4 linked regions of the Notamacropus eugenii genome follow. The protein of the gene in region 2 interacts with the protein of the main gene of each other region in a biochemical or structural test. Links are inferred from orthologs where the notes say so. Each region holds a gene or a part of one and is shown on either strand. Other genes may lie near its edges.

What was found.
Region 1: the proteins of DLG1 (region 2) and PBK form a complex in vitro, tested with the Homo sapiens proteins (2 studies listed by BioGRID and IntAct, with this or other methods). The link is inferred for Notamacropus eugenii from reciprocal best matches to the Homo sapiens genes DLG1 and PBK.
Region 3: the proteins of DLG1 (region 2) and EVI5 interact in a test that uses a peptide from one of them, tested with the Homo sapiens proteins (2 studies listed by IntAct, with this or other methods). The link is inferred for Notamacropus eugenii from reciprocal best matches to the Homo sapiens genes DLG1 and EVI5.
Region 4: the proteins of DLG1 (region 2) and RALBP1 interact in a test that uses a peptide from one of them, tested with the Homo sapiens proteins (2 studies listed by IntAct, with this or other methods). The link is inferred for Notamacropus eugenii from reciprocal best matches to the Homo sapiens genes DLG1 and RALBP1.

Annotation. Positions count from the first base shown.
Region 1 is NC_092872.1:524,126,815-524,134,120, reverse strand, and holds the start of PBK (lymphokine-activated killer T-cell-originated protein kinase), read right to left. Parts: upstream 3,092-7,306; 5' UTR 2,909-3,091; exon of another isoform or gene 2,708-2,908; intron 1-2,707. UniProt on the Homo sapiens protein: Phosphorylates MAP kinase p38. Seems to be active only in mitosis. May also play a role in the activation of lymphoid cells.
Region 2 is NC_092877.1:387,071,448-387,078,822, reverse strand, and holds the start of DLG1 (disks large homolog 1), read right to left. Parts: upstream 3,005-7,375; 5' UTR 2,794-3,004; coding exon 2,775-2,793; intron 2,643-2,774; coding exon 2,511-2,642; intron 1-2,510. UniProt on the Homo sapiens protein: Essential multidomain scaffolding protein required for normal development. Recruits channels, receptors and signaling molecules to discrete plasma membrane domains in polarized cells.
Region 3 is NC_092873.1:504,272,907-504,280,990, forward strand, and holds the start of EVI5 (ecotropic viral integration site 5 protein homolog), read right to left. Parts: upstream 3,012-8,084; 5' UTR 2,978-3,011; coding exon 2,924-2,977; intron 1-2,923. UniProt on the Homo sapiens protein: Functions as a regulator of cell cycle progression by stabilizing the FBXO5 protein and promoting cyclin-A accumulation during interphase. May play a role in cytokinesis.
Region 4 is NC_092875.1:233,698,563-233,706,612, forward strand, and holds the start of RALBP1 (ralA-binding protein 1), read right to left. Parts: upstream 3,126-8,050; 5' UTR 3,019-3,125; intron 1,703-3,018; exon of another isoform or gene 1,566-1,702; intron 757-1,565; exon of another isoform or gene 623-756; intron 1-622. UniProt on the Homo sapiens protein: Multifunctional protein that functions as a downstream effector of RALA and RALB. As a GTPase-activating protein/GAP can inactivate CDC42 and RAC1 by stimulating their GTPase activity.

The sequences.
Region 1 (7,306 bases), on a different chromosome or scaffold from region 2:
TGCAGCCTCAAGGCCATCTGTGACCTTTTATGTCCTTGGGTGCAGGTTTTTGACTGAATCCAAGTTTTACAGAACAAATCTTTTTATTAAGGGAATTTATTCTGTGAAGTTTGGATTCTGTGGAAGGGCCACAAATGGCCTTGAGGTTGCAGCATCCCCACCCCTGGAGCACATAGTAAGTATTTAATGAATGCTTGCTGACTTGACTGTTCCTTAAGTCTTTTTGGTATTTTCATCCAGCTCACAGCCACGAATCATCGGTTTCCTCCCAGGCTCTTTCCTTGGCCCCCTGCTCTTTTCCCTTTCTGCTATATTGCTTGGTGATCTCATTTGCTCCCATGGATTCAGTGACAGTCTCTATGCAGGTGATTCTCATATCTATCTGTCCAATTCTAACTAACCTCCAGTGTTCCATCGCCAGCTGCCTACTGGACACCTGGAAATTGATGTCTTGTAGACTCTTTAAGCTCAACATGTCCACATTATCTTTTCTGCCCACAAATCTTACTCTGAACTTCCCTATTTCTTGGGAAGGCAGCACCATCCTCCAGTCATCCAAACTTACAAATGGTGTCATCGTTTCCCCACATACTCACTCCACTTAGCCAATTTGCTGCCAAGTCTAACAACTTTTATATACATTCTCTTTTCTCTACTCACACAGCTGCCATGATAGTACAGGTCCCTATCACCTAAAGATACTCTGGGACTTTTGCAACAACTTTCTGGTTGGCTTCCCTGCTTCAAGTCTTTCCTCACTACAATTCATCTACCACAGAGCTGCTGAAATGATCTTCCTAAAGTAGTCTGACCAATGTTGTGGTCACCACTTCCCACCTACACTCAATAAATATAGTATATACTTAATGTTTACTGGCTGACTACATCTAGAATCAGATATAAAATCTTTGTCATTGAGAGCCCTTCATAATTTGGCCTCAAACACTTCTCAGTTTTATTATATTTTATTCCCTTTCATATGCACTAGTACAACTGAACTTGTCTTCTTTCTGATCTTCACAAACTATTGTTTCATCCCCCATCGCTGTGCCTTTGCATTGGCCATTCCCCATGCCTGGACCTGGTTTCCTTCAAGGTTCTGCTCAAGTGCTACCTTTTTCAGAGATTTTTGCCTTGATCACCCTCACCTTACTCCCAAACGTATATACACACATATGGACGTCTTCTGCCCTGGCTAAAATATAAGTTCTTTAAAGGCAGGGACCTTTTTACTTTTAACTTTCATCTCCAATGCTCAGCATTTCCGGGCACACAGTAGACCCTTGGCAAAGGCTTGTTGATCAATTCAGCATCCCAGTGACTCCTCAGATGAAAAGTGCCTTCCCTAGACACCAAAATATATTCTCTCCCACCTTGTAGAGAGCAGGCAGTACCTAAGTGAACTTTACCACCATGAAGGGGCTCTCTATGAATCTCTTCCACTGAGCTCTTCCTGGAAATTCCATTTTGAGGGAGGGCCCAGACCAGCCATCATTCTAGGGACTTTGCCACCATGTCCCTGTTCTGCTACCTTCTCTCCCCAATCCCAACTTGTTAGTTCCCTGCTTATGTATTATCTTCCCTCCTTAGGATGTTAGCAATTTGAGGGTAGGGACTGTCTTCTTTTTTTTTTTTTTTTTTGCAAGTTATTTGTATCCTTGAGGCTTAGTACAGTGCCTGGCACATAATAAGTGCTTAATAAAAGGACCAGAATTTAAAAATACCTTACAGGACCAGGCTGCAGTCAGTCAATTAACAAAGTACATTTTTTAAAAAATACACAAGAGGAAAGAAAAAGTAGAGATAGAATGAAATATTTTATTTCAAATTAAAATAATAAATTTTGTTGCATCAGTTGTCATGCCTGATCCTTCTAGTGTTTTAATCAATTCTCATTGACTGCCTTTGTATTTACAGAATTTAGCATAGTGCCTGGCACACAGTAAGCACTTAATAAATGCTCTTTTACTCATTCATTCCCCAGCCAGATTCTAAAATAGTCTTATAAAGACACAAACTATATCATAGGGTATAGTGTAGAGAGAGCCTTAACTTCTTTAATGCTATAAAGCCCATTGATCTGCATCAGTGGATGGAGTGAATGTGTACACTGCTGAAATCACATTTCCCACCCTCCTAGAGTGCCAGAGACTCATCAATTTCCTACAAAAGGAATATAACATTTTCTCTCTCTGTCTTTGTTTCTGTGTTTCTCTTTATTTCTGATACTTTCTATTTTTTCTCTCTCTCTCGATCTGTTTCTCTTTCTATACTTCTGTCTCTCTATAAGTTACTGTATCTGTTTCTTTCTCTCTTTGTCGGTCTCTGTTTCTCTCTGGGGGTCTCTCTACACTTCTTCTGTTTCTCTATGTACCTCTCTCTCCTCTAAAACCCTACAGGAAAGAAGGAAAGAAAAAAGCAGGAGGAAAAAGAATGGCTGTGAGACCACAGGAAAGGGACGGCAGGCTCGCAGAGCGAATGTCAGGCTGGAAGCGGCTTCGGGGGCCCCCGGCCCGGACCCCAGAAGCCAGGACGCCCCTCTCTCCAGCCGCGCTTCTCCATCCTCCCGGTCTCAGGACCCCTTTACGTTCTTCAACAAAATAACCGAGGGCCCCTAGAGCTTGTGGGCCGATCCCATGCGGGAATGCTTATCCTTGTCTTATTCATTTCAAGTCACTCATTACCCGTTCGGCTACCACAAACGCACTTTACTCCGACGGTGACCGCAGTCACCCGGCTCCGGAGGCCCCGGGTTCGAGTACCAGCTCGGCCGCCCCAGCGGGGCGAGCCCGGGGCTTCAGTCTCCACACAGCCGAGGGAAGGGGGCTGGGACTCCCCAGAAAGTGGGAGGGGTCCGGCGGAGACAAGCAAGCCCCGGCCACCCTCCTCCCGCGGCTCGCAGACTCACCTGAGCAGGTACGGATCAGCGGGGGCGCCCGGACCCGCCTCCGCGCGCAGACTCCACCGAAGCCGTTGAGATTCGAACGCCCGCCGCCTTCAAACCCGCGCGCTGCGGCCTACGGGGCGGACAGAGGGACAAGCTGCGTGGGAACGCGTTCCCTGCCCGCCTCGCTCCTTCGCTTTCTCTGCCTCTTCCCCTCCCCATTGATTACGGTTCATTATCATGTTGGAGTTCTTGTTTGTACACACAGACATATTCACATATCATCTGTTCTATCTGCAGTCCACCTGTAGATCCTGCTCTATCGTCTCTCCCGATCTCTCCGGCTGTCTCTGCCCCTCTTCCCCTCACCTTCCTGGCGGAGATCCCACCTTCTGCCCACCTTCCCTAACCCCTACTGGAGCACCTCCTATCTGGCCTGTGCGCAGCCCGCTTAGTCTGTATTTCTTCTCCATGGAGGCAGAAACACTTTTTGCTTTTTTTGTCTTCATTCTAGGAGCTTAGCACGGCGCCGTTCACATTGTAGCTACTTCATAACGTTTATTGATTATGATTGATTGACGGACCTAGGCATCCCTTTGTATCTACCTAAGGAGCATTGTGCTCCTTATCATCGCTCATCCATTTATCCATATGTATCTATTTATCTACCTATAGTTACCTAAAGAGCATTCTGTTATCTATCATCTATTATCTCTTTATCCATCCATCCGTCTTTATCCTACATGTATCTATTCATGAACTATCTTCCATTTACGTATACAATCTATTATCTCTGGATATGTGAGTGATTATCAGCTCTCCATCATCTCTCTTTGTCCCTATTTTCCTTACATCAACCTATCTCATCATCTATCTGTCCATTTTTCTCTTTTTTAAAACTTTATTTAGTATCACCCTTTACTGAAAGCAATTTAGACTTTTTTAACTTCCTTTTTTTCAACTTATTTATTTAATTTTAGTTTTCAACATTCACTTTCAGAAGTTTTAAATTTTCTCCCCATTCCTCCCCCTTCTCTCTCCAATGCAAGGTGTGATTAAATTTTGTTTCCACAAAAATTAAATAAAATTATAATTCATATTGATGGTTAATGTCAGAGAAAAAATTGCTTGTATAAGGTGGTGGGTGGGGAATGCTAGTCCTGGAAATCAGCGTATCTACTACAGAAAAACCTCAGTTTATGAATTTAATTCATTCTGAGATTCTGTTCATCGTGTGATTTGTTTGTATTGCAAAGCAAATTTTCCCTTAGAAAATAATGTAAAGTCAGATGACTGGTATCACATCCCCAAACATATTCATGTAAAAATAATTCTTTACAGTTTTAAGTTTTTTGTCCCTAATGGACCCAAAATACAATAGCAATGATTAGTATACAATATAAACTGAAAATGAAATAAATTAACCTACACTTTACTTTTGAGAACAGTCATGGCTGGTATGAGAGAGAGAAGAGGGAGGAGGAGGAGGAGGAAGGGTTATTGCTTGGTAGAAGGATCTCCTATGAGAACATCAGAGATTTCAACCTGGGAAGTGTTTTCTCTTATGTTACTTTCACTAAAAGTAAGACTAACACTACTGCCTTCACTTATTTTGCATTGTTTAGAATCACTTTCATGTTTTGACTTACTGATTGTTTTTTTTTACATTCGCTTCTGACTAGGAATCTATCTAACAACACTTGTCTGACATTTTTTTGATTAATTTGTTTTCAGTTTTCAACAATCACTTCCATAAGTTTGAAATTTTCTCCCATCCTCTCTCCGCTCCCTCCCCATGACAGCATGCAAATCTTATATGAGTTAAAAAAAAAAAATTGCCCTAGTTGAGTGTCCTCCCTTCTCAAGCTACTCAAGTCCAAACATGATGTTTGTACTGCGAATTTTTGTTTGTCCTGCAAGACAAATTTTGTGAAAAATTTTTCCTTGTTCAGCAAAACAGGTTACTTGAAAACTGAGGTTCTAATGTACTTTTCTTTGTTCTGAAAAGGCCTCTCCCTGCATACCAAAAACAACTGCCAGGCCAGCTCTCATCCACAGAGGATAAGAATGAGAGCCATAAACCCACTAATGAGCGTTGAAAAGGTACAGGAACCCAAAGACTGGAAGTCCTTGGGTGGGCCATCCTGAAAGAATTCATGGACTCAATCATTCTTGAGGTCAAAGTGGTAAAGATTTATTACACTTTTCAGCAGGCAAGAGTTCTCAGGGAACCTACAACCTTAGAGGGGTACAATTAAAGTTTATATAGAATATTCTATAGTGAAGTATGTGCCAAAATTGCTAACTAGGTGATTCAGGGTGGGATTAGGGAGTGATTAAGGAGTGGTTAGTTCTTAAAAGAACATGCACTTTTAGTATCTACTGCACAGATATTTTACCCAGAGTTCATCAGAAATAGCCCAAAGAGGGCTTACATGGGTGTGGTTTTAGGCCTAAAATGTCACTAAGTCAACTAATGGCCAGGGTTGACTTGAGAAATACTCAGGCTGCTCCCATCAATATCTTGTTAGAGCAGATAAACTTAAGGAAGTATACACATTTCTAAGTCTAGGATACATATGATTGGTCAGTGAATAGTAAATATCTTTATGAACCAGTACACAGCCAGTTCAGCCAGTACACAGTTGGTTCAAACTAATAAATCCTATAGGTGCTGCTGGCTGCTATATTAGGAAGAAAGATCTATGGCAGGCTGTACTTGGGCTGGGGAAAACTGCCTGGGATAGTGTTTTGAGGCTAGGGAGAAATGTGATTTTAGAGAGAAATGTGATTTTAGAATTGGGATCCAAGCACAGGCACCCAAGCACCCCATCACCATCTTTTTTTATTGATATCCTGGAATCTTCGAACTCACACTTTTGTCAGTTCTCTTAGCAATTGAAAGCTCTTTAATCATGCTATCTGATGTAGACAAAAGGGGAAGGGACTAAGAGTATTCCTTTAAAGAATAAAGTAAATGAAGATGTAATCAAGAGGTAGGGTTTAGTGAACCCTGGAATGTTGATCAATGGGGTTCAAGGCAAAAATTCAAGTCTGGATGAATTATAAAGACTTACATAACTTGCATTATGTGTTCTTACACCAGCTTGAAGGCCAAGTCATCTGTCTTTTAAATGTGAAGTAAAACTCTTTTTTTTTTCTAAATTCCCTCATAGCCTTGTAGAATTCTTGGTTATTTCTAACACCAAAATGGCATGCAATCTGATATGGGCTCTACACATACATTCCTATTAAACGCATTTTCACATTAGTCATGTTTCATAGAAGAATTATAATGAACAGGAGAAACCATGAGAAAGAGAAAAAGAAAAAAATAGTCTGCTTCATTCTGCACTCTGACTCCATAGTTCTTTCTCTGGATGTGGGTGGCATTTTCCATCATGAATCCTTTGGAAATATTTTAGGTCCTTGCATTGCTGAGTAGGGCTAAGCCTATCAAAATCAGTCATTGAACACTATGGCTGTTACTGTGTACAATGTTCTTCAAGTTCTGTTTACTTCACTCAGCATCAGTTCACGTAAATCTTTCAAGGTTTTTCTGAAGTCTGTCTTTTCATCATTTCTTATAGCACAATAGTATTCCATTACATTCATATACCACAGCTTGTTTAGCCATTCCTTCAATTTCTAGTTCTTGGCCACCACTAAAAGAGCTGCTATAAATACTTTTGTACATGTAGGTCCTTTTCCCATTTTTATGATCTCTTTGGGATACAATTCTAGAAGTAGTATTATTGGGTCAAAAAGTATGCACATTTTTATAGCCCTTTGGACATATTGCTCTCCATAATGGTTGGATCAGTTCATAGCTCCACCAGCTATGAATTAGTGTTCCAGTTTTCCACATCTCCAACATTTATCATTTTCCTGTTTTGTCATGTTAGCCAATCTGATAGGTGTGACGAGGTACCTCAGAGTTGTTTTGATTTGTATCTCTCTAATCAATAGTGAATTAGAGCATTTTTTCATGTAAATACAGATAGCTTTAATTTCTTCCTCTGAAAACTGCCTGTCCATATCCTTTGACCATTTATCAGTTGAGGAATGATTTGTATTCTTGTAAATTTGACTCAGTTCTCTATATATTTTAGAAATGAGGCCTTTATCACAGACACTAACTGTAAAACTTTTTTCCCAGTTTCCTGCTTCTCTCCTAATCTTGTTTGTATTGGCTTTGTTTATGTAAAAGCTTTTCAATTTAATTATCAAAATTATCCATTTTGCATTTCATAATGTTCTCTATCTCTTGTTTGGTCATAAATTCCTCCATTCTCCATTGTGAGAAACATGCTCACTCTAAATAAAGAACAATACTCAATGTGAAGCCAGGAAAGTTCTGTTTTTATTTTAGCCAATTATTCTGCATTCCTAATGAATGGGTCTCTCCCTAATGGAGGTTAC
Region 2 (7,375 bases):
AAAGGTTTTCAATGGAGGGGAAAAAGGGGGAGGTGAGAGGGTAAAAGTGAAGTTTTTTTTTAGGAACCCAGTGAAGGGTTGAGTGCAGACTCTTGGATGGCTCCTCCACAGTACAGCCTCACCACAGCACCTAGGCACAGCCCTGGGAGACTTTGGTATCTTTGGCAGGCACTGTACTCTACTTTTTTTATGCTTTAGGAGACCCCAGAGGACTCATTAATAAAGATCGACTAATCAGGAATGTCAAACGCCTGAATTCCACCACAAAAACAATTTCAGGTGGGCAGTAAAAAGCCCTTAGAGGTTTACAACATCTTCTTGGAGTCCAAGGGAGTTGCCAAACTTGACTGTTTTTGAGAGCTGGGGGCCCTGTTATTCATATTACCCACCTCTGGGGAAGCCTTAAAACCAACAGGAGAGAGACGTGGGTTCTGGAGGTTTCCTGAATCCACAATAGGTGGGACCAGCAGGGCAAAGAGAGGAGGGGCCCTATGCAGGCCAGCCCAGGTTTGGGCACCATACACTCTGGGTGTGACGGATCTGAACTTGATTCTCCCTCCTACCAGCAGGTAAGCTTCTTGGGAGCAGCCACTGTATCCCTAGCACCTAACCAAGAGCAAGCACACAGTAGGTGCTTAATAAATGTTTAATTCAATTATCCTGTAATTTTCTGTGGTTTGCTTCTCCCTGATCAGGTCCTAGGCACTTGGTAGAGTGCTTGCTTTCTCAGTTATAGGGAATCCACTTCTATAGCTAATTCTAGCAGTCCCCACCTCTGACAACTAAGTACTGTTAGTCCTGTGTCCCATGAAAAGGAAGGCTTTCCTGCTGAGGGAAACCCCTCAATCTGGAGCCCACAGTCCTCCATCTTCTCCAGCAGACTGCCCCCATCAGCCCTCCTCTCTGGCACCTTTCATGTTCCCGTCCCTGCAGCGGCCTCCTCACCCTGCACGGTCCACCCTTGTCCCTCTGTACCGTCTCCCTAGGTGCCCTCCTCAGCCCTCCTGGGCTCCTACGAAGATGATTCTCAGATACGGAGCTCTGCTCCACCTGATGCCTCTGGGCACCTTGAGCTGGATGTCCATAGACATCTCACCGGCTTTCCTGGACGTGACAGGTCACTGCTAATTCATCCTGAATCCGCAGGCCACAAAAGCCCATCCCATCTTGTTCAGAACAGCTGCCTTTGCATGAGGTCCACTGGCACAGACAGGTCCGAGACTTCACACTGATCTTTACTGCAGTGCATCGACTGAACCTGGCCCAACACTGGGGCCTCTCAAGTCCTTTCGGGCTCGGTTGTCCAGGGTGTCCGCTGTCCCTCCCGGCTGGACGCGAAGAGCCTGCCTTCTGTCCTTTGATCCAAAGAACTGAGAAAAACGGTCCACCAGGGTGAAGGCCTCTTGGCACAGAACCGCCCACTGTCTCAGTTAACCAGTCTGGACCCTTCTGGCTTCTCCACAACAGCAAGGGACGCCCCCGGAAAGCTCTGCTAGGATCCGGTACGTTCCTCTGTCAAGTGAAACGCTCCTCCTTCTCCTCACCCGAATCCCAGGCTGTGCCCTCACTCCTCTGCCCTGCTCGGGGTGGCCTGGAGCCAAAGTCCTGGGTTCCAATCCTGGCGGCCCGCCCCGGCTGAACTGAGTAGTCTTGGGGGGCCCCTGCCTCTAGCAGCTGCAAGCCCTCACTCCGGGAAGGAAGGGGGGTGCCTGGGCAGGTCAGCCTGGAGACGGCTGGGCGGAGCCGGTCCGAAGGCGGCGGCTGAGGTCCACAGGGCGATCCGGCTAGGAGGTGCCCCGGGCTCCCGGTGGCGCCCCAGCTCAGCGGGCTTCGGAAGCCTCCTTACCCCGAACCGCTCCTCACGGCCCTGCCTGCCCCGGGCCGCTCCCGGGCCGCACGCGCTCGGACCCCACCCGAACCGGGGACCGCGGACCCGCACGGGCACGAACGGTGCGTGCCACCCCTCGGCCAAGGCCGCAGCTTCCCGCCTCTCTGCCCATCACCAGGCGAGGAGGGGAGGAGCCCGGGCGGGCAGCAGGGGGCCGAGGGGGGCGGAGGCTGTGGGTCGGGGTCCGGGCGGAGCGGGGCGGAGGCCGGCCCAGACTGACCCCCCCGGGGGAGGGGCTCCGCTGCCCCCTTGCCCCGAAGGCCCCCCCCCCCCCCCGTCCTCCAACTCCAAGAGGGTGCCAGCCTTTGCCACCCCTCCTGCGTGCCAGGCACCGCGCTAAGGGCGTGTCCGTCGTACAGCCCGCAGGAGACCACCCTCCTTTAATCCCAAAGGGGTGCACGGGGCCCCCCCTCCCGCCAGGCCCCCCGCAGCCCCGGGGCGCTCCCTCTCCCCCAGCCCCGACGGCGTCCGCGCCTTTACCTCGGGCGGGGAAGGGGAAAGTTCCGAACTTGGCAACTTTGTAACGAGCGGCGGGGGCGGGGGCGGGGGCGGGCCCTCCCCTCCCCTCCCCTCCCCTCCCCCCTCCCCCGCCCCTCCCCTCCCCCGCCCCTCCCCCACTCACCGAGGAGCGCGTGGAAGAGGCTGCTCTGGAAGATGCCGATGACGCGCTCGAGGGAGCCCCGCAGCGGCCGGTCGTGTGCGGGGCTCAGCTGCGCGCGGTACTCCTGCAGCAGCCGCAGCGCGCGCTCCGTGTCTGCGGGGACAGGGCGGGGGGCAGGCGTCAGCGCGCGGCGGGGCCGCCCCCTCCCCGGCCCCCTCCCCCGCCCCTCCCGCGCCCGCCGGCCTCCCCTCCCCCTCCCCTCCCCCTCCCCTCCGGGCCGCTCACCTCGCTTCCGAACGGGCATGGCTGGCGCGCGTCGGCCCCGCCTCACGCCCGCAGCGCCATCGCCGCCCGCTCCCCGCGCGCTCCCCGCCCGCGCTCCCTCTCTCTGCCTCCGTCTCTCTCCGTCTCTCCCTCGCCGCCGCCGCCGCCTCCCCTTCCTCCTCCCCCTCCTCCTCGGGCTCTCCCCTCAAACTTTCCTCCAAGATGGCGGCCCCCGAGCCGGACGGCCGCGCCCCCACGTGACCGCCTTCCCCCGCGCCGCCAGCCAATGGCAAGTGAGCGGGCGGCGGCGCGCGCCCGAGCGGCCCGAACGCTCGGCAGCCCCGGAGAGGGGGCAGGGGGCGGGGCCCTGGGGGCGGAGACGCTAGGGGGCGGGGCCCGTGGAGGGGCGGGGCGGACACTCCCTCCCCCCCGTGGAGCGGGGCCGACGCGCCTTAAAGGGCCCGCGAGCCACAGGTGGCAGCCCGACCGAGCCGGTCTACGGGCGGGGCCGAGCCGCAGGTGGGCTGGCCACGCCCCGGGGCGGGGCCCGGAGGAGGAGCCGCCGCTGCTCGTGGAGGTGGGGGTGGGGGAGAAACCCCAAAGGAGCGCCCAGGTCTCGGGCCGGAGCCGAGGGGCTGGGGGAAACCGAGGCCCGGGGCCGCCCCGAACCGGGCTTCAAGGGCTGCGGGAAAGCCCCCGAGAACCCCCTCTGTGAAGGACCCGCGGACGACGGACGGACGGACGGACGGGGCTTCTCGCCCGCCCCGCCTCCTCTGGCCGCGCCCCGGGCCCCCTGCTGTGCTTGGACCGTGCGCGCCCCCCCACGTCACGGGAGCCCGAAGCTGGCGGACCCCACGGGGGGCAGGGGAAACTGAGGCACGGAAAAGTCAGCCAGGGTCACGCGCCTGCCGACGTGCGCAGGTGTATGTGTGTGCACGCGTGTGCGTGTAAAGTGCCCCCGGGACCCCCCGGCGCTCCTGGCAGCGCTGAGGTAAATCCGTTACTGCCCGTGACAACCCGGTGAGGTTCGGTCCGGTCCGGTCCCGCCAGCAGGGTCAGGCCCCTGTCGCGATCCTCCCGCAGACGCAGCCCCAGCCCGGCCCTGCGCCCCGCACCTCCGGGGGGTCACTGTGTCCTTGTGACCCCCACTTTCGCATCTACACCATGACAGGGTCGGCCTTGGCGGCTCCGGCCCAATTCCCCGAACCTGTGGCTCTGATCACTTTGTCATGGAAAAAAATTGATCAGACTCTCCCTTAGAAAGTCAGCGGGACTTGGATGGGCAGGGAAGCGGCCAATGAAGGAAAGAGGAGGCCTGCTACGTCACACACCTGTGCGAGGTGTGTGAGGTGGAAGGACAAACGGCCGGAGGGCCCCGAGAACCGCTGTTCGCAGGCCCGGGAATGCAGGAGACTGGGCAGGCGACCCAGCATGGACACGCTCGGTGCCGGCTCGTGAGTGGGCTGTGAGGCGGGCCACCCCTGGGCAGCAGCTCGGAGTCTGGCACCGAAAACAACCAAGCGCCACCCTCCTGACCCAGTGGGCTGTGAGGCGGGCCACCCCTGGGCAGCAGCTCGGAGTCTGGCACCGAAAACAACCAAGCGCCACCCTCCTGACCCAGGAGCCGCGCTGCTAGGCACACCTCAGAGGCAGGCCGCCCGGCCGTGCCCACCCAACGCCTGGAGCAGCCCTTCTCGTGGCGGCCAACCTGGGGGAGGGAGAGGCACATCCTGTGGCTGGAACAGTCCGAGCAAGGCTCCGTGTCCCTGCTTCGCAGCTGCGGAGAGCCAGGCCTCAGGGGCAGGAGCAGGTCCGGAGGAGGCCTGTTGGATCAGTCGCTGGGTCGTCAGAGGCGCTCTACCTAGATGCCCACTGGTGAGGTGGGGTTGTGCTGCGACTGCGAAGAAGGCCAGTCGTGTCCCTGGTTTGTGTAGAACAACCAGGAGGCTCGGAGCACTGCCGCAGAGGAGAGGTGGCAGTCCAGCCTCTCCAGGGAGGGATTCCCTGACTCCTCTCCCCACCCCACCCCCACTTCCCCATTCTTGGAAGGTCGAGGCTTTGGACTCCCAGCAGCGTCCTTGGGACAATCATGGTGGGTATCACTGTCCGCATTGGGAGCTGAGGACAAACTAGACCCATTAAGGAAAGGCAGTCACTTCAAATCTCTGTGAGGATCCCATCAGGCAGCTGCAGGAGACTGAAGGGGAACACTGTGAAGACCAGCAAAAGGGCCTCTGGGAACCCAGAGTGTGAGCCTGCTTTCCCCAGGACGCTGTGTGTCCTTGTGAAATGGGGTGGTGGGTACAACCTTAGTAAATACCCCTATCTAAAGGCTAATTAATCTGATTGACTCATTGACACCAATTGCTAGTCCTAGGCGGAGGTGCAGGGAACTCGAGTAGGAGCTTAGGAGCTAAGTTCTAGGGACCTGACTTAGCAGTGAGAGTTGAAAGCTGAGAGAGTAGCTCACGATCCCCATGGCATGGTGGCATGTGAATGCACCAGAATATTACTTACTGCCCCATTAGAAATGGCAGATATAAAGAATATAGAGAAGGACACAAAAACCTAAGAACGGATACAAAATGAAGAACACCGAACCAGGAAAATGATATACCCAGGACTACAGTAGTGGACATAGAAAGGACAGTGTCGGTGATGGAAACTCACCAACATGGGATCATAATTGAAAATTCATCTTCCTCCCCCTGCTTCCTGTGGGAGGAGGGGGCTGCCTTAGCAATACAGGCTTCTAGACCCTGGGAAGATGATCTGGTAAGGCCCAAAGCCACTGATTGGTGAGTAAATGAATGTCTACTGGCTGGCCCTCTACTTACTGTTTAATCATTCAGTCAGGTCTGACTTTGTGTTTTCTAACTCTCTAGGGTTTTCTTGGCAGAGATACTGAAATGTTTTGTCATTTCCTTCTCCAGTTCATTTCACAGATGAGGAAACCAAGACTTACCCAGGGTCACACAGTTAGTAAGTGTCTGAGGCCAGAGTTAAACTTGTGGAGAATCTTCCTGATTCTAAGCCCAGTGCTCTGTCCACTGCACCACCTGACTGCCCAAGACGCCACCCAGACCATCTTACTCTAATTCCTCACCTCTGGCCACTTCTCCACCACACAGATTGCCTTCTCCTGTTAGAAAATCGGCTCCTTATATTTGTACCTCAAGGACTAATGCGTTTTTCCATTCATTCACGATGGTGTGTTATTTAGTTTTGTTGGATTTTCTTTCATTCTTTGTTATAAGGGACATGGGAATTAAATTGGTGATGAAGATGATATAAAGACAGGAGATCAATACTTTTCTTTTTGAAGCTAGTGGAATTACTTTGGCAGGTGGGAGACTAGGGGAGCCTTATCAGGCATGATTAGGATGTTGCTTTTCCTGGGCTGTTTCCCTGAAAGCCAAGAGGGAGACCCTGGGTTCCAGGAGAAACAATTTCTTCTCAGGTTTTTCTGGGCTTGTTCTGAGGCACTTCCTCCAGAGCGAAGAATAAAACTGGGAACCCTCAATTAGACCTGATAAAACACCGCTAGATTATCGTTAGATCATTTCCCCATCATCACTCATCAACAGCCCTATGAAGTAGGCAATGCTAACATGATTATCCCCATTTTATAGATGCAGAACTGAGGTTCTGAGAGGGGAAATGCCTTTTATCCAGCCAGTCATGCAGCCAGGTCAGGCTGCTGATGGAGACAGGCTGCACTCATCAAAGGAAGCCCTTATTTAGGAGGCTATATAACCCCATGTCCTCAGGCACCCCAGGACAGGACAGGAAATGGTGCTCAGAACATTCTCCCCCATTCCCCCAAAGCAGGACTCCGTCTTATACGTGGCAGCAATCGTCAGTAAGGACTTGGGGCAGCTTTAAAATACTTGTTCCTTGTATTAGGGAATCCAGGATGACAATGAGGATTCAAAAGATCTTTCCATGCTTGAATATTGGGCCAAATCTAATTAAATGAAATGGAATAAGGATAAAGTACATTTAGACTTGAGTTTTAAAAAGTCAGCTCCACAAATGTAAGATGAAGGAGATGTGTGACTAATGGAGCTAGATGGCAATTTATCTGAAAAAGATTTGAGGGTTAGAGTGAACCACAGGCTCAAGGATCAGCAGGGAGTGGTGTGGCAACCCAGAAAGCAAATGCCATCTTGGGCTGCATGAAGAGAGGCACAGTGTCCAGGAACAAAGAGGTGGTGGTACCTCTGTCTTCTGTCCAGCCAAGACTCCATCAGGAATTTTGTTCAGCCATTTCAGGCATGTCCAACTCTTCATCACCCCATTTGGGATTTTCTTGGCAGAGATACCAGAGTGGTTTGTCATTTTCTTCTCCAGCTCATTTCACAGATGAGGAAACTGAGGCAAACAGAGTGAAGTGACTTACCCAGGGACACCCAGCTAGTAAGTGTCTGAGGCCAGATTTGAACTTGGCTCTTCCTGGTTCCCACCCCAAGGCATTCCATCAAGAATTTTAGACTATCCATTTCAGGAAGGTCACCCATAAGCTAGAGAGTGTCCAGAGGAGGGCAACGGGAGAAGAAGGTCCCTGCGTCTATGTTAGATGAGAATTGGTTAAAGCGACTGGGGCATGTTGGTCTTGAAGA
Region 3 (8,084 bases), on a different chromosome or scaffold from region 2:
CCTTTAAAGCCTGACTCAAATGTTATCTTCTCAAGAAATCCTTCCCAGATCCTTGAGATCAATATCACCTTATCTCTCAGACCTCATACAGTTCTTTGTTTTCATCTAATCACAGAATATCAGTTCTGGAAAAGATCTTAAAAATCATTAATGACAGACAGGGTTATATAATGGTTAAATAGTTACACCTGGATATAAGAAAAGCTTATATATTGAATTCTGCTTCTGCCACTTTCTAACTATGTGACTATGTTCAAGCCACTTAGCCTCAGTTTTCTCGTCTATAAAGTGGAAATAGCAATGTTTTTGGTGCCTACCTCAGAGAGTTGTTTCAAGGATCAGATGAGGGAATGTAAAGATCAGATATAACAGCATGTAGTTCAATCCTCAGACACTTACTAGCTTTGTGACCCTGAGCAAGTCACTGACCCCTCTTTGCCTCAGGTTCTTCATCTGTAAAATGAGCTGGAGAAGGAAACGGCAAACTACTCTAGTATCTTTGCTAACAAAGTCCCAAATGTGGTCATGAGGAGTCAGACAAAACTGAAAACAACTGAACAACGATAAAAGTCCAATCCCCAGAAGAGAAGGATGTGCAAACTGAGATCCAGAGAGGTTAAGTGATTTCCCTTAGGTCATGCAATGAGTAAGTGGCAGAGCCAAGATTTAAATCAGATCTTTGCACCACAGATTATTTCCCCTACTGATAACCCTCAAGTGTATTTATCATGTGGAATGGTACTTTTCATTTTGACCAGAGCCAAAAACAATCCTTTGCACACAATAAGTACTTAATGAATATTTGATGGTGGAAGGGTTGCTGCTGCTTGGGACAGCAGCATGCAGACCAGAACTGTAGGAGAGCCTGTGCAGCCATCAGTGGCAGCCTCTTCAAAAATGCTTCAGATTTCATCCATTTACTTGTTATTCATTGTTCTAAAGAAAGGACTAGACAATCCTTCTGCCCCCTGCTATATCATATAACATCACAGCATCACTCTGGACTGACTCACTGGAAAGGCCCACTGTTCTATCCATTACAACACCTAATTGCTCTGGGTCTCAGTTTGTGAAACGAGGATTTGTGTTAGATGACCCCTTCCTATTACTGAGTTCCATCTAATTCTGAGACTCAGTGATTAGCTGTATTTTTATTTGAGCCCCAATTTGGAACCTTGCCCACTGAAAGGCTATGTTCATGATCTCTCAAGAGTCTGCATATTTTGCTATTGTGCAAGCAGAGATATAGAAAAGCTAGGCTGTTGCTCCACAGAAAACTCATTCTCTTACTCCTGGTATAGTTGGGGACTAAGGTCAGTTATGGGGCAGTTAGGTGGTGTAATGGATAGAGTGCCAGGCCTGGAGTCAGAAAGACTCATCTTCCTAATTTCAAATCTGGCCTCAGACACTTGCCAGCTGTGTGACCCAGAGCAAGTCACTTATCCCCATTTGTCTCTGTTTTCTCATCTATCAAATGAGCTGGAGAAGGAACTGGCAAACCACTGCAGTATCTTTGCCAACAAAACCCCAGATGGGGTCACAAAGAGTTAGACATAACTAAAAATGACTCAATGACAAAAAACAAAAAAGGTCAGTTATATGAAAAGAAGCACTGTCTGGTTTGTCTAAGAGGAAGAAACCATAGAAACTTACTTATAACTGAGATACTTGTTCAAGCAGGTCAACCTGTGACTCAAGTACAGTGTTCGTTAAACTTCCAGGAAGACTGTAAGTCACTGAAGTAATTAATGAGGACAATATTTGCTCTGCCCATGAGGCAGCAACCGGGCACTTCTTTTGGTCCTTATAATAACCCTATGAGATAGGTGCTATTATTATCATCCTCATTTTGCAGATGAGGAAACTGAGGCTGACAGGTTAAGTGACTTGTCCAGGGTCACACAACTAATAAGTATCTGAGAGACATTATTTGAATTCAGGTCTGGCTGAGTGCAAGTCCAAATCTATCCACTTGGCCATGGATTCCCTTTAGGAATCCCAATTCCAGAACCCTCGGACTGGATGATCTCTGAGCTTTCTCCCTATTTTTCTCTGGGATCCCTTTTTAGCCCTAAATCTGTGATTTCTAAAAATACAGATGAGTTGCTGCTTTGTAGAGGGAGTTGTTGCTTTTTACTCCAAGGGTTCCCCATATCTATGAAATCCCGTACCCTTTCCCCCTAAAAAAATGTTAAAATAAAATTGAAGTTTTCATTCTGAAAGCCCCTCCCCGCAAAATGCCTTTCAGAGTCTCAGCTTCTTTGAGTTCAATGATTCTCAGTCACAACTGCAGTGCATCACCTGTAAACGGTACCTTAGACTGTGCTCCCTCCCCCTTTGAGTCTGATATCACGAGATCCCTCTGAACGCAGGAACTGTTGGCCAAGTGCCCGCAGCATAGATATTACAGTTGTTTTTCTTATTTGTCCTTTATTCTCCAAGAGGACCATGACATCAGGGAGGTGCTTAATAAATGCTTACTGACTGACAACCCCCAGGGCAGAACAGCTGGGCGCTGGGATGATTAAGGAAATAAATCCTTTTCCTTAGCCAGTGGCGCTGTCCAAAAAAGCTGAAAGAACCCCAGACACGCAGCCGGCTCTACCGTGACTCTTCCTCCAGGATTATTCGCTACACGTTCATTGCAAGAACGACAAGATGCTGTAGAATTAGGAAAAGCTTCCTTCTCTGCAGGCTTGCCATTAGTCAAATGCATTCCTGGATGTCCCCCTCCCCCTCCCCTGGAGCGAATCAGACGAAGTCAATTCTTCAAATGAAACATGAGAAGTAAAAGCTTCCGCTCCTGTGGGTTGTTTTTTTTCCCTTTCTCAGAATAAACAGAGACCACAAATCTTAACTCAAACATAAACCTTTCATTTTTAAAAACAATTTTGATTTCCAGGTAAATATTTCCAGGTCTTACCTGTTTCCCAGTATGGTTTCCAGGGGCAGTAGTCATTTTAAGAGTAACCATCATAAGCCAAGAACCGAGGGAGATTGGGAATTTGAATTCAATTTCCAGCTGACTCATGGGGAGTGGTTTGCGCCACACTCCACCCAGATCCGCTCGGTTTTCCTCCCACCATCAATTTGTTAGGGGTTAGATCTATGGGAAGCTGGGATTGTGGAGGACTGACTAGACCCGGTGCATAAAGGGTTTCTCTGTTTTGTGTTTTGATTAAAAATTGATGGAATTTTAAAGGGGGGAGGGGTGATCATTTAACCATTGTTTCATTTCAGACAAATTCTGAAACTTTGGCAATTGGCTTTTCCAAATAGAAGGCTCCAGCCTCTGGAATTTGTCCTCTGGCTAACTCCCCTTCAGTGTTACTTGGGTGGATTTCCAGAAATTCTGCATTCACCTTTTCATTTTGGGTTATTCTTCAAATTGTTGCTGAGACGCTTCTACATTGCAAGCTTTTGCGTTCTAGAAGATGCATGATATTTACAATCATAATGCTCCCTGGCCATTTTCCACCCATGCTGCCATATTGCCTCCAGCTTCCTTATCAGCCCCCTCCCTCCAGAACTCTGCCCCTGGGACTCTGGGCTCTATCTGATAGGTCTTCTCTCACCTGGAACCAAACCTCCTAGTCACTTAAAAGTCACCCCGCACACACACACTTCTCCACCTCCCTTTCTGTGGTGTTGACCTCCACTGGGTCAAAAGCTCCCTGAGGGCAGGCTTGTATTTGTTTGTATCCTCTCTAGGGCTTAGCACAGAGCCTGGCAAATAGTAGGGGCAGCTAGGTGGCATAATGGATATACACTGCTGTGCCTGGAATCAGGAAGACTCATCTTCCTGAGTTCAAATCCAGCCTCTACACTTACTAACTGTGTGATCCTAGGCAAGTCACTGAACCTTGTTTGCCTTCATTTCCTCATCTGTAAAATAAGCTGGTAAAGAAAATGGCAAACCCCTCCAGTATCTTTGCCTAGAAAACCTCAAATGGGGTCACAGAGAGTTGGACATGACTGAACAATAACAACATGGCAACCCTGGAAGGTTGGTTATTATTATCCTCAAAGTTTTAAGTGACCTGCTCAAGTACACACAGCTAGCATCCGAGGCAGAAATTCAAACTCTGGACTTCTTGACCTAAAGTCTAGTTCTCTACTCACTGGCCACCAACCTACTTAATCTCTACCAAATGTTACTCTGCAGGTTGCTGGAACCAGTCTCCACTGGGTATTGCTCCTTGCTCTCACTTTCTGGGGTAATCCTTTCAGAGGCCTTCAAGCAATCTTAGTTCCAGTCTATTTAAGTACACTGACTAGAAGCTTGCTTGAATAAGAACTGTCATAGCCATTAAATCCAGCTAAGAAAAGCCAGTCAGCCAGATTACCCCCAGGCTGAGTTAAATCTTATATAATGGGAGATAAAAACAACTCTCAGCACTTAGCATAGTACCTGGCACATACTAGGTACTTAGGAAATGGTTACTAACTTAATAAATGATTACAGATAGCCATCTAATTTAGGATCAAGCATGTCCAAAATACACACATACTAGGCACTTAGTAAATGGTTACCAACTTAATAAATGATCACAGATGACTAACTCAAGATCAAACATGTCCAAAATCTTCTCTGGTTTAGCTTATAAATGAATTTCAACTAGAATAAAAAGGGAGCCAAGTTAGATGGTAGATTAGGGGCAGCCACCCAGCTGAACTCTCTCAACATCCCCCTCCAAACAACTTTAAAATCATGCCTCAGATCAAATTTTGGAGCAGGAGAGTCAACAAAAGTTCAGGATGAGACATTTTTCTGGCCTAAGGAAACTTAGGTCTGCATGAGAGGGCTGTGACAGACAGCCTGTTGGAGTATGCACAAAAGGCAGCATCAACAGCAGTAGTAGTAGCAGCAGTTTCACGAACTCTTAGCCCAGAGATGGTAAGGAGGTCTGACAATTGGTCAAGAGATTACAAAAGACCCTTTGCTGGCATGGAATACAGCTGATACTGACTGACAATTCTATTGCTTATGTGCCATTCTGGGTCATGGTCCCAGGGCAAAGTTGTTGGTCATCAGGTTGGTTGGTCATCAGGGAACAGAAGCCCTGGTCACAGTTCCAAGACAAATAGGAATGCTAGTTTTTGCAGCTGTAAGAGAGCAGGGTTGCTGTGACTATAGCACAGAACAGGAGAGCAAGGATCCTACTTCTCATCAGATCACACCACCTTGGAAGCACCAAAAACTTGCAGATTCCACCCCCCCCCCATAACTAACTCTGAAAACAATAGCACCAAAAAACCTAAAGCTTGATACAGTGCTTTGCCACCACCAGGTGAGCAGAGCCCAACTTTAACATAAAATTCAAAGTCAAGAAATAGGCTAGAAAAATGACTTAAAACAATAAGAATGACCAAAAAAAGTTGACCATAAAAAGCTACTCAGTGGCAGGGAAGAACAAAATATAAATTTAGAAGACAACAACATGAAAATAGCTACAACAAAAGCTTCAAAGAAAAATGCTAATTGGACACAAGCCAAACAAGAATGAAAGAAAGAAAGAAAGAGAGAAAGAAAGAAAGAAAGAAAGAAAGAAGAAAGGAAGGAAGGAAGAAAGAAAGAAAGAAAGAAACAAAGAAAGAAAGAAAGAAAGAAAGAAAGAAAAAAACAAAGAAACAAAGAAACAAAGAAAGAAAGGAAGGAAGAAAGGAAGAAAGAAAGAAAGAAAGAAAGAGAAAGAAAGAAAGAAAAGAGTGGTAGAGGAAAAATTGGGGAAAGAAATGAGAGTGATACAAGAAAATTATGAAAAAGGAATTACCAGCTTGGTAAAAGAGGTACAAAAATATTGAAGAAGTGATGCCTTAAAAAGTAGAATTGCTCTAATAGTAAAAAGAGGCATAAAAATTCACTGAAGAAAATAACTTAAAAAATAGAATTAGACAAATGGAAAGAAGAAGTACAAAAGCTCACTGAAGAAAATACCTCCTCAAAAATTAGAAGTATGGAACTAGAAGCTAATGATTCCATGCAAGAAACAATAAAACAAAGTCAAAAGATGAAAGAAGTAGAAGATATGAAATATCTCATTGAATAAAACAAATAACTAATGTAGAAAATAGATCAGGGAGAAATAATTTAAGAATTATTGGACTGCCTGAAAACTATGATCAAAGAAAGAACCTATAAATATCATATTTGAAGAAACAATAAAGGAAAACTGCCCTGATATCTTAGATCCAGAGGTTAAAATAGAAATTGAAAGATTCTACCAATGACCTCCTGAAAGAGATCCTCAAATGAAAACTCCCAGGAATATTATAGCCAAATTCCAGAACTCTCAAATCAAGGAGAAAACATGGTAATCAACCAGAAAGAAACAATTCAAGTACTATGGAACCACAGTCAGGATCACACAAAATTGAGCAGCTTCCATGTTAAAGGAGTTAAAAGATCAGAGATGATATAGAGCTGAATAGAAAATTCGACCTTCAAACACAACACTCAAAGGAAGTATAAAAGTAAACATGAAAATCATAAGGGACTCAATAAGATTAAACTGTTTACATTCCTATATGGGAAGATGATTCATGTAATTCCTAAGAACTTTATCATTAGTAGGGCAGTTAAAAGGAGTTGTTTACATAGACAGAAGGCATGGGGCATGGGCATGAGTCTATTATGTTGGAATGATCCCCTCCCCCAAAAAGTGAAGGGGTGAGAAAGAGGGATGCCCTGAGAGAAGGGGAAAAGGAAAGATAGAATGGGGAAATTTTTTTCACATAAAAAAGCACACAAAGAAGAGCTTTTACAGTGGAAGGGACAATGGGGGAGGAAGCAGGCAATGCTTGAACCTCATTCTCATCTAACTTGGTTCAAAGAGGAAAGAATATATATACATATACACACACTCAGCTATAGGTAGAAATATCACTTACTCAATAGGGAAATAGGAGGAGAAGGAGATAAAAGAAAGGCAAGGAGGGGGAATGATATAAGGCAGAGCAGATTAAGGGAGACAGTGGATAGAAGCAAAATGGATTTTGGGGAGGAATACGATGAAAAGAGAAGGAAGAAAAGAAAAAGAAGAAAATGGGATAGGGAAAAATACATAGTAATCACAACGGTAAATGAAATGGAAGCACATCACAGAATGGATTAGAAACTAGAATCCAACAATATGTTCTTTATAGGAGATGCACTTGAAGGAAAAAGATAAATACAGAGTTAAAATACAGGATTGGAGTAGAATCCAATATGCTTTAGCTGAAGTAAAAAAGCGAGGTGACAGGATTCATTTCAGACAAAGCAAAAAGCAAAAAATAGACCTAATTTAAAAAGATAATCAGGGAAACTTTATTTTTCACAGCCTCATTCCCATGTCTGACACTCTCCCCCTCCCCATCTCTACCTCTTACTCCACTTACTGGCTTTTTTCAAGTTTAAGCTAGAGTTCCATCTTCCACAAAAAGAAAAAAATCTTTTCCAGGACTTTTTAATTTTAGTGCCTTCCCTATGAAATGATTTCCAATTTATCTGGTATTTGCATATGTTTTTTTTGCCTGTTGTCTCCCCTATTAGATTTTAATCTGCTTGAGGGTAGGGACTGGTTTTCCCCTTTCTTTGTATCCCCAAGGCTGAGCAGAGCTGAATATATACTTGTCAAATGACTTGATGACAACAGTGATTAACATCATCTTTGTCCAGCCAGTTACTAGCATCTCCACGCCTGTTTCCTCACTTGTAAAACAAGGATAATAATCCTAGTGATACCCATTAGATACTATGGGTCCCAAGTGTGAGTACACGTTGCATCTGCCACTTTGCCTGGTCTCAGTTCCACCGAACAAGATGGGCAGGATAAACTCATCCTTGTCTAATCTATCGTGCTGCTAACTCAAGCCTTGATTGACACCACTTCCCTTAGCCTCCTGATTGGAAGGCTGGAGGATGAAGGTCAGAAAATGGACTCTCAGGTCACTCCATTTGACATCTGCTGCTCTGCCTTGTTTCAACTCCATAGAAGAAGATATCCCCTGGAATTCCCCCCTTACCCCCCTTTACTGCCTCTGTGTGTGTGTGTATTTGTGTATGTGTTGTCTCTCCTTTTAGACTATAAGTTCTTTGAGGT
Region 4 (8,050 bases), on a different chromosome or scaffold from region 2:
TTTCATTCTCAGATTACAAAGATTTTTTTTTTAATGACATCAGAATGTTTCAGCACAAGGACAGCTAGGATATAGCACCGGAATTCAAATACAGCCTCAGACCTTACCAGCTGACCCTGGGCAAATCACTTTACCCCAATTGTCCAATTGCCCCCAAAAAAGAGTGTTTTAGCATAAAAGAATCTGAAAAGTGAGTTCAAAAAAGCCTTAATCCTGAAAAGAGGAGGTCAAGTTAACTAGTATTTGTTAAACACCTACTATGTACCGAGTACAGTGCTAAAAGTCAGGGATACAAAAAAAGAAAAGAAAAACAATCCTTTCCCTCAAGGAGGTCACAGTCTAACACGGGGAACAACATTGTAACAAATATGAACAAACAACATAGGATACATTGGAGATAATCTTAGAGGGTAGGGAAGCTTTACTGAAGGATCAGGAAAAGCTAGCAAGTAAGATTTCAGCTGAGACAGGAAGGAAGTCAGGTAAGCCAGGGAGGCAGCAGGTGAGGAGAAAGAGTATTCCAGTGGGAAGAAAAAACCAGTGAAAAACAATTGGGGGAAAAATGCTGAATGCGGATTCTGAGAACTTGGACTCAAACCCTGCCACTTATTTAACCACTCACCTGTAAAGTGCAGGGAGTTTTGACAGGTTGGTGACAGGCTGGTGAAGCGTGTGGAGCTTAAAAAACGTTTTAAAAAAACTAAATAAAATTATAAATTTCAGCTAGAGACTAGTGAAAATAAAAAACGTAATGTTTTTCCATCCAAGTTCATGAACTCTATGCTCTGGGTACAATGAGCCTTACCTTAGGAACCCCCTGTACTAGATAACAGCATTTCCTAGCCATCCTTCAAGTTTGCAACTCGCTTTACAGGTATCTCACAATCCTAGGGGATAGTGTTTTATTATCCCCATTTTACAGGTGAGAAAACCGAGGCTCGGAAAGGTGAAGTGACTAGCACACAAATAACAAGGGTCCAAAGCAGGATCTGCCTTCCAAAGCCCATCCCAGCTCTAAATCTAGGATTCTACCATCTCTCCACCTTTTGAAGCCTAAATCCAGGGGCCACCGCAGCGTCTAACGGCACACCCTGACATCCTAACGGGCTTCCATCCCGGCAGGCGAAGACCCCCAACGCCTTCTCCGGGTCCCGAGGTTTCCTTTGGCTCTAGGTTAAAGGCTGACTTGGGGGGCCCCTTTGGAGGTCTCTTAGCACTGAAGGTGAGAAGAACGAGCCTGACCTCCTGACCTCCCAGACACCCCGGCACAAACGCGGCCGGACGAGTCCAGGCAAGGAGAGGCATCCCGGGGTAAACTGGGGGCGGGGGTGAGGGCCTGACACCCCGCTTTTCTCAAAACCACGCCCCCAACCCCCGAAGTCAAAGGTGAGGGGGGCGGCACCTGACAAGCACTGGGGAGACGGAAGTATCAGACCCTCACGTGGTGCGGGGACCGGGAAGAGAAGGGGCGCAGCGCCCGGTGGAAAGGGAGGGGGAGCCCCCCCGCCCCCTCCCCACAGAGTGCGAGAGGGTCAAGGGCTGCGACTCCCGGGCACGCGACTGACCTGCCCCAGCCGCGGTGCGACCGACCTCTTCCTCGCCGCCGCCGCCGCCTCGCGCTCGCGCTCACGCCGTGGCCTCCGCCCCCTCGGCCGCGCCACGGGCAAGCCCCAGGCACCCCATCGCCACCCCACCCAAGCTTTTCTACGCCGCCGCCTGTTTACAATGACTGGGACGGAACGGGGCCAACCGGGCAACGCGCAAGCGCATCCCCTCCTCCCGCCGCTGCCGGCTTCCCCGGTTGCCTCTACTCCCTTTGGACGACGGCGGAGGCCGTCAAAGACACGACGCTCTGTGCCCTCTCGCGGAGGACGTCGGGAGCTGTAGTCTCGGAGAGATCGAAGGGCTCGGCTTGGTGGAGGAGTCCCCTTCGGCGGTGAACTACAACTCCCGGAAGGCGTCCCGCCGTGGCAGAGCGCGCACATCTCGTGCGTCTGCGCACTGATCGCCGGGGGAGGAGCCGCAGGGAGGGATGGTTGGACGTGTAAGTTGGGATGAAGTGTTTTTGGAGAAGCGCTGCAGCTTGTGCGAAAGCGCCCCACCTGGAAGCCTTCCCAGAGTCCCGAAGGGGCCATCCGCCCCTACCTGTGCTCCGCTGGCCAGACCCTCCCTTTGCCCCTGCGGGCTTCATTCTTCCCGGCCGCCAGCTCCCGAAAAACTAGTTAAACCAGTTTCAAAGCGCAGCCCAAGTTCCTGGCCGGGGATGGGACGCCTTCCTGGCATCTGGGAGGGTGGGGATCGCAAAGGGTTTACGGGGGGTGGTACCAAGAGCTGGAGCTGGCACCAGGGCGGGCGCTACCTAGTACGCACCTCTGCAACAAAGCGAGCAGAGGAATTATGCTGAGTTAGTGATGGGGCGGGGGAGGGGAGACACTAGGGGAGGAAGGAGGGAAGGGAGATTGGGTCCTAGGGGTACCATCCGATCTGCGTGACCTGCTTTCCTCCACCAACTTAACCTGGCACAGTGATAAGAGGGCAAACCCTGAATTCAGACCAGGGAGACCCGGTGACCCGCATGCACACCTGGATTAACGAATCATAAGAAATAATAAGCGAAATTGTCTACAAAACCTGCAAGATGATAACCACTGGAGAACCAAGAAACTCCATAAAACGCTAAATCTCTCCCATCCTCAAAAGCCCCCCCCCCCCCCCCACTCATTGTAGTGTTGATGCATCCATCAATGACAAAGAGATGAGAATCACCTGCTTCCCTAGGTTCAACCATCACCTGGGTAAATAACTCCCTGGATTTCCCCAATTAATTTAAATTCCTCTAAAACTGGATTCGAATTTTTCCCCCGCAAACTCCTCTGGACATTTGTTAAAAATTTATATGCATATAGCACTTAAGAGTGAAAACACATTACCATCGAGTCTGAGATAGATGATACGATTATTATCATTCCCCATTTTAGAGATTAAGAAATTGAGAATCAGAGAAGTTATATGACTTACCCAAGGTCCAACGCTAGAAAGTACTCGATCGGGGATTCAAAACCTGGTGTCTTGACTTAAAGTCCATTAGGAACTTTATATCATCACACCAGGCTGCCCTTCATTCTCCCCACCCACACTGAACTTGGAAATCTTTTCTAACTCCTCCCTCCTCCCCACCCCCTGCAATCCAAACAGTTGCTGCCTCATTAAACTAGAAAAATGTCAGAGCTAGAAAGGACTGATTCTGCCCTTCTAATTTCTCTTTTATGTGTTCCCATACTTGGCTTTCTCATTGCCCTATGTGGTATCCTCCAATCTGTCTTTAACTCAATGAGTTTTGTTTAGTAGTACTTGTTGAATAAAGTGAATGAAGTATGCCAAATAGCATATTATTAATCTCTAGTCTTTATATTGTTTTTAAAAAATAAAATGCATAGATAATTCTTCTCCCACATGCACCTCAATGATTTGGTGAATTATGTATGAAACCAGTTATTTTAAAATTAAGGTAGGCACCACCTTATTTCCTCTAGGCACAGATGTGATCATCATAGATTTAGAGATGGAAAAGATTCTAGAAGCAATTTTGTTAGACATTTTACAAATGAGGAAGCCCAGAGATGTTAAAGAGCTTCCTCTAGATTTCACAGAAAGTAAGTGATAGCTAGAATTTAATCTCAGGTTTCCTTGACTTCAGCACTCTTTCCATTGCATTACACCCATTCCCTTAGTTGATGCTTTCTACAGAAATAATGGTTTAGTCACAGAGTCAAAGACCCAGAGGGTTTCTATCTCATTCCAGGTGATGGTACCAGGTCAATTACAACTTTGTGATGTATTGTGTCTGTTGTCTTTGGCAACATGTAAATAATGTAGAAAGCAATTCTTTATGATAAAGGAATTAAATTTATTGAATTTTATTTTTGAAAGTTGAACCTGAATCTGCAGAATATAAAGAGATTGAGAAAAGAATATAATTCAGGTTTTTTTAAGCAAAGATCTATGGATATTAGAAATCATCTAGTTCAATCATCCTTCTTTAAAATAAAGGAAACAGTGCTCAAAAAGGTTAAGTGACTTGCTCACCAAAGTCAGACTAGTGACAGCCAAGATTCAAGTCAGTTCAAGAAAACATTTAGTAAGCACCAAGGCTCTATGCTAGTAAGAAAAAAAGGATGAAAAACAATACTCCTCAAACTTAGGAAACTTAAAATCTAATAGGAGAGGAAGGATTTTGGACATGTATACAAATAAATATGATACAAGTATAAGATGGATAGTCATATGACAGCAAGAATCAACCAACAGACCTTTATTAATACCTACTATGTGTCAAGCACTGTGCTAGGCACTAGGGATACAAAATAAAAAAGTGATCTCAGTCTCTGTCCTCATTCTTTTGGGGGACTACCACAAATTCACAAATAAATAAATATAGAATTTATGCAAAATAAATGCAGAATGATTGGGTGGCTGACATTAACAACCTGAGGGAACCAGGAGATGCCTGTTGTAAAAGAAGTGGCATTTGACCTAAACCTTTATATTAGTGCATCCAAGAGATAGAAGTAAGGAGGGAGAACATTCCAGAAATAGGGAACAGCCTTTATAAAGGTATGGAGGCAAGAGATGGAGTGTCTTATGCTGAGGATAGCAAGTAGCTGAGCCAAAGTGCCTGAACAAGAGTAATGTTTGATCAGTCTAAGAAGAAATGCTAGAACTAGACTTCTAATGACTTTAAATAGCAAACAAAGGAGGCAGTAGGGAGTCACTGAAGCTTTTTGAGCAGAGTGACATGGTCGAGGACAATTACTTTGACAGCTGTGTGGGAGGCAGATTGAAAATGGATGAAGAAAGATCAATTAGGAGCCAGGGATAAGGTGCAGATCTAAGCATTGATGAGATTTTGCAACTGATAGAATATGGAGGATTTGGGAGAGTGAAAAATTGATGACTCCTGGAATGTGAGACCGGATGATTGGAAGAATTTTCTTTAACAAAAATAAGGTAGTTAAGAGGAAGAGTGGTTTTAGAGGTAAAAGAATGAATTCTGTGTTAGATATGTTGAATTTGAAATGTCTGCAGGACATTCAGGTAGAAATGTTCATCTAGCAACTGAAAATTAAGGAGAAAGATCAAGGCTAGATCTGTAGATTTGGGAGCCATCTGTATTTAGATGATAGTTGACTCCAAGGGAATTAACTGGAACCCCAAGACACTGAGTGTAGAAAGAGAAGAGGGGAGTACTCATGACCAAGCATGACCACCCACATATAAGGAACTGGATATGGATAATGATTCTGCAAAGGGGACTGAGATGTCCAGCAAGTAGGGAAAAAATCAGAATAGAGAAATGTCACAAAAACCCAGCAAGGAGAGATTATGGAGAAGGAGATGGTCAACAGTGTCAAATTATTAGAAGAGGTCAATGCAGGGGAAATGTCATCATTTACTATTTTGTAATACTTCCCATTACTATTTTAGCAACTGTGACAGAACTACATTTCCCTTCTTTCCTCCCATCTGCAACATGGGGAGGTTTTACCTAAAAGAAACAAAGTTTCCCTTTCTACATAATTTAACTATATGATTAGCCCTGACTTCTCTGATACAGCTTCCTGTCATCTAAGGGGAATATAACATGTCCTGGAATCCAGGTCCCTCAGATTTGATGGATTTTCTCCCTCATATGGTATCTATGTCCCTTATACTTGATATTTTTATAAAACTCAGTCCAATAAGGTTTACCTGCCCTGCTGATGTGACCTATCCATTTAGAGCCAAGGGGGAGAAAGAGGACTGTACTTAAAGAAATTAAGTGCCACTGTAGCCTTTTATTAAGGCTTTTATTAAGTAAATCTTTTCTTAAGTAAATCTCCAGTGACTTCTATGAATGCCTCATTTTGACCCAGCATGCATCAGAGAGTGGTAGCATCAGAGTCCAGCCTTGGACATCAGCCATATAGGAAAGTGTCTCCTAGAGGATTATTGAAGCTGTGAAACAATTTGCAAGGCCTAAGCCCTCACTTCTGGGGGCCTAATTATGGATAAATGAAAACAACTTCTGTATTTTTATCCCCAGCCTCAGGAAAACTAAGCAGGCATTCAGCTATGCTGTTGAATGAAGCTGGAGAAAATCACAAACCTGTGCTAACTGGAATTACTACAAATTTATGTTGCATAACCTCAATTTCACCCTCACTACCACAAGGAAATCCTTTTACCCTTCTCTGGTTGGCTCACTATCCCACTCACCACAGCAGCTCTACCAAATATTTTTATCCTTCATCAAGCCTCCCATAGTTCCACTTTCACCCACTCTCTGAGCTAAGAACTTTAAAAAAAAATTCATATTTTATTTTATAAATATTTCATATTTTCAATATTGTTATATTTTACTGAAAAAATTTAGACCATTTTTTGAGAGTTCACTATTATCCCCTCCTAATGATCTGTCATCACCCAGATGCCTTCACCTCTGTCTCACTTGAAGAGGTGGTCCTTTTCATGCCAAGACAAACCCTTCTACAATTGACTCCATTCCATTCCATCCTATCTTCTCTATCAGATTTTCCCCTCTCAACTCCATTCTCATTCATCTTGAATCCCTTCCTGTTTTCTGGCTATTTCCCTATTGTCTACAAACATACCCATTTTTCCCTATCTTCAGAAAAATCTTACTTGATCCATCTTTCTTTCCCTACTAGCTATCCTCCCATATCTTTCCTCCCTTTTGTGGCTAAACTTGAGAAGACTAGCTAGAATATTTTCTTTCTTCTCACTCTCTTCTTGACTCTTCCATCTGGCTTCTGACTTCATCATTCTAACAGAACTACTCCCTCCAAAGTTACCAATGATTTTTGATCACCAAATCAAATGTCCTTTTCTCAACTCTCATCCTTCTTGACCTCTCTGCAGCCTTTGACATTGTTGGTCACCCTCTTCTTGATATTCTCTTCTCTCTAGGTTTTTAGAACATTATTCTCTCCTGCCTCATCTGAAGGCTCCTTCAACCTTCACCAAAGCACTCTCACCAAAAGTAGGTGTCCCCCAGGGCTCTGTTCTGGGCCTTCTCTTCTTTATCTATGCTACTTCACTCGATGATCTTATCAGTTCCTACGAATTCAATTATCATCTTTATGCTGATTGTCCTCAAATCTACTTATTAGCCCTGATCTCTCTCCTAGCTTCCAGTTGTGTATGTCCAATGGTCAATTTGAGTTCTCGAATTGTATTAGTCCTACAGGCATATTAAACTCAATATGGCCCAAATTGGACTCATTATCTCTCCCCACCACCCAAAAAACCCCTTTCTTCCTAACTTCCCTATTACTGTTTGGGGTATCACCATTTTTCTAGTCACCCATGCTCAAAACCTGTGTATCATCTTTGACTTTCTCATCCTTCATATCCACAGCTGTTGTCAAGTCCTGTTGTTTCTACCTTAGTAATATCTCTTATACGCACCTCATTCTGTCCTCTAACAACGCCAGCACTTATCATCTGATAAGACCCTTATCATCTTAAGCCTGGACTATTGCAATAGCCTATTGGTTGGACTAACTGCCTCAATTCTCTCCTCATCTTTGACTTAACTGTCAAATTGGTCTTCCTAAAGTGACCATGTTACACACACACACACACACACACACACACACACACACACACACACACACACACTTAGTAAACTACTGTGGCTACTTATCAACTTAAGGATCAAGCATAAAATCTTGTTTGTCATTCAAAGGCTTTCATAACTTACACTTTAAGCCCCTCCAGTACTCCATGATCCAGTGAAACTGACCTCCTTACTATTTGTCAAACAAGATACTTGATCTCCACACTCCTAGCATTGTCACTGACTGTCCCCTATGTCTAGAATTGCCCTCTTCTTCAACCCTGTCCCCAGCCTCCTTGACTTCTTTCAAGTCTCAACTAAAACTCAACTATGAAAAGCCTTTCCTTAATTCTAGTGCTTTATCTCTCTTGATTATCTCCAGTTTATCCTTTATATAGCCTATTTTTACATAGTTGCTTGTTATCTGACCAT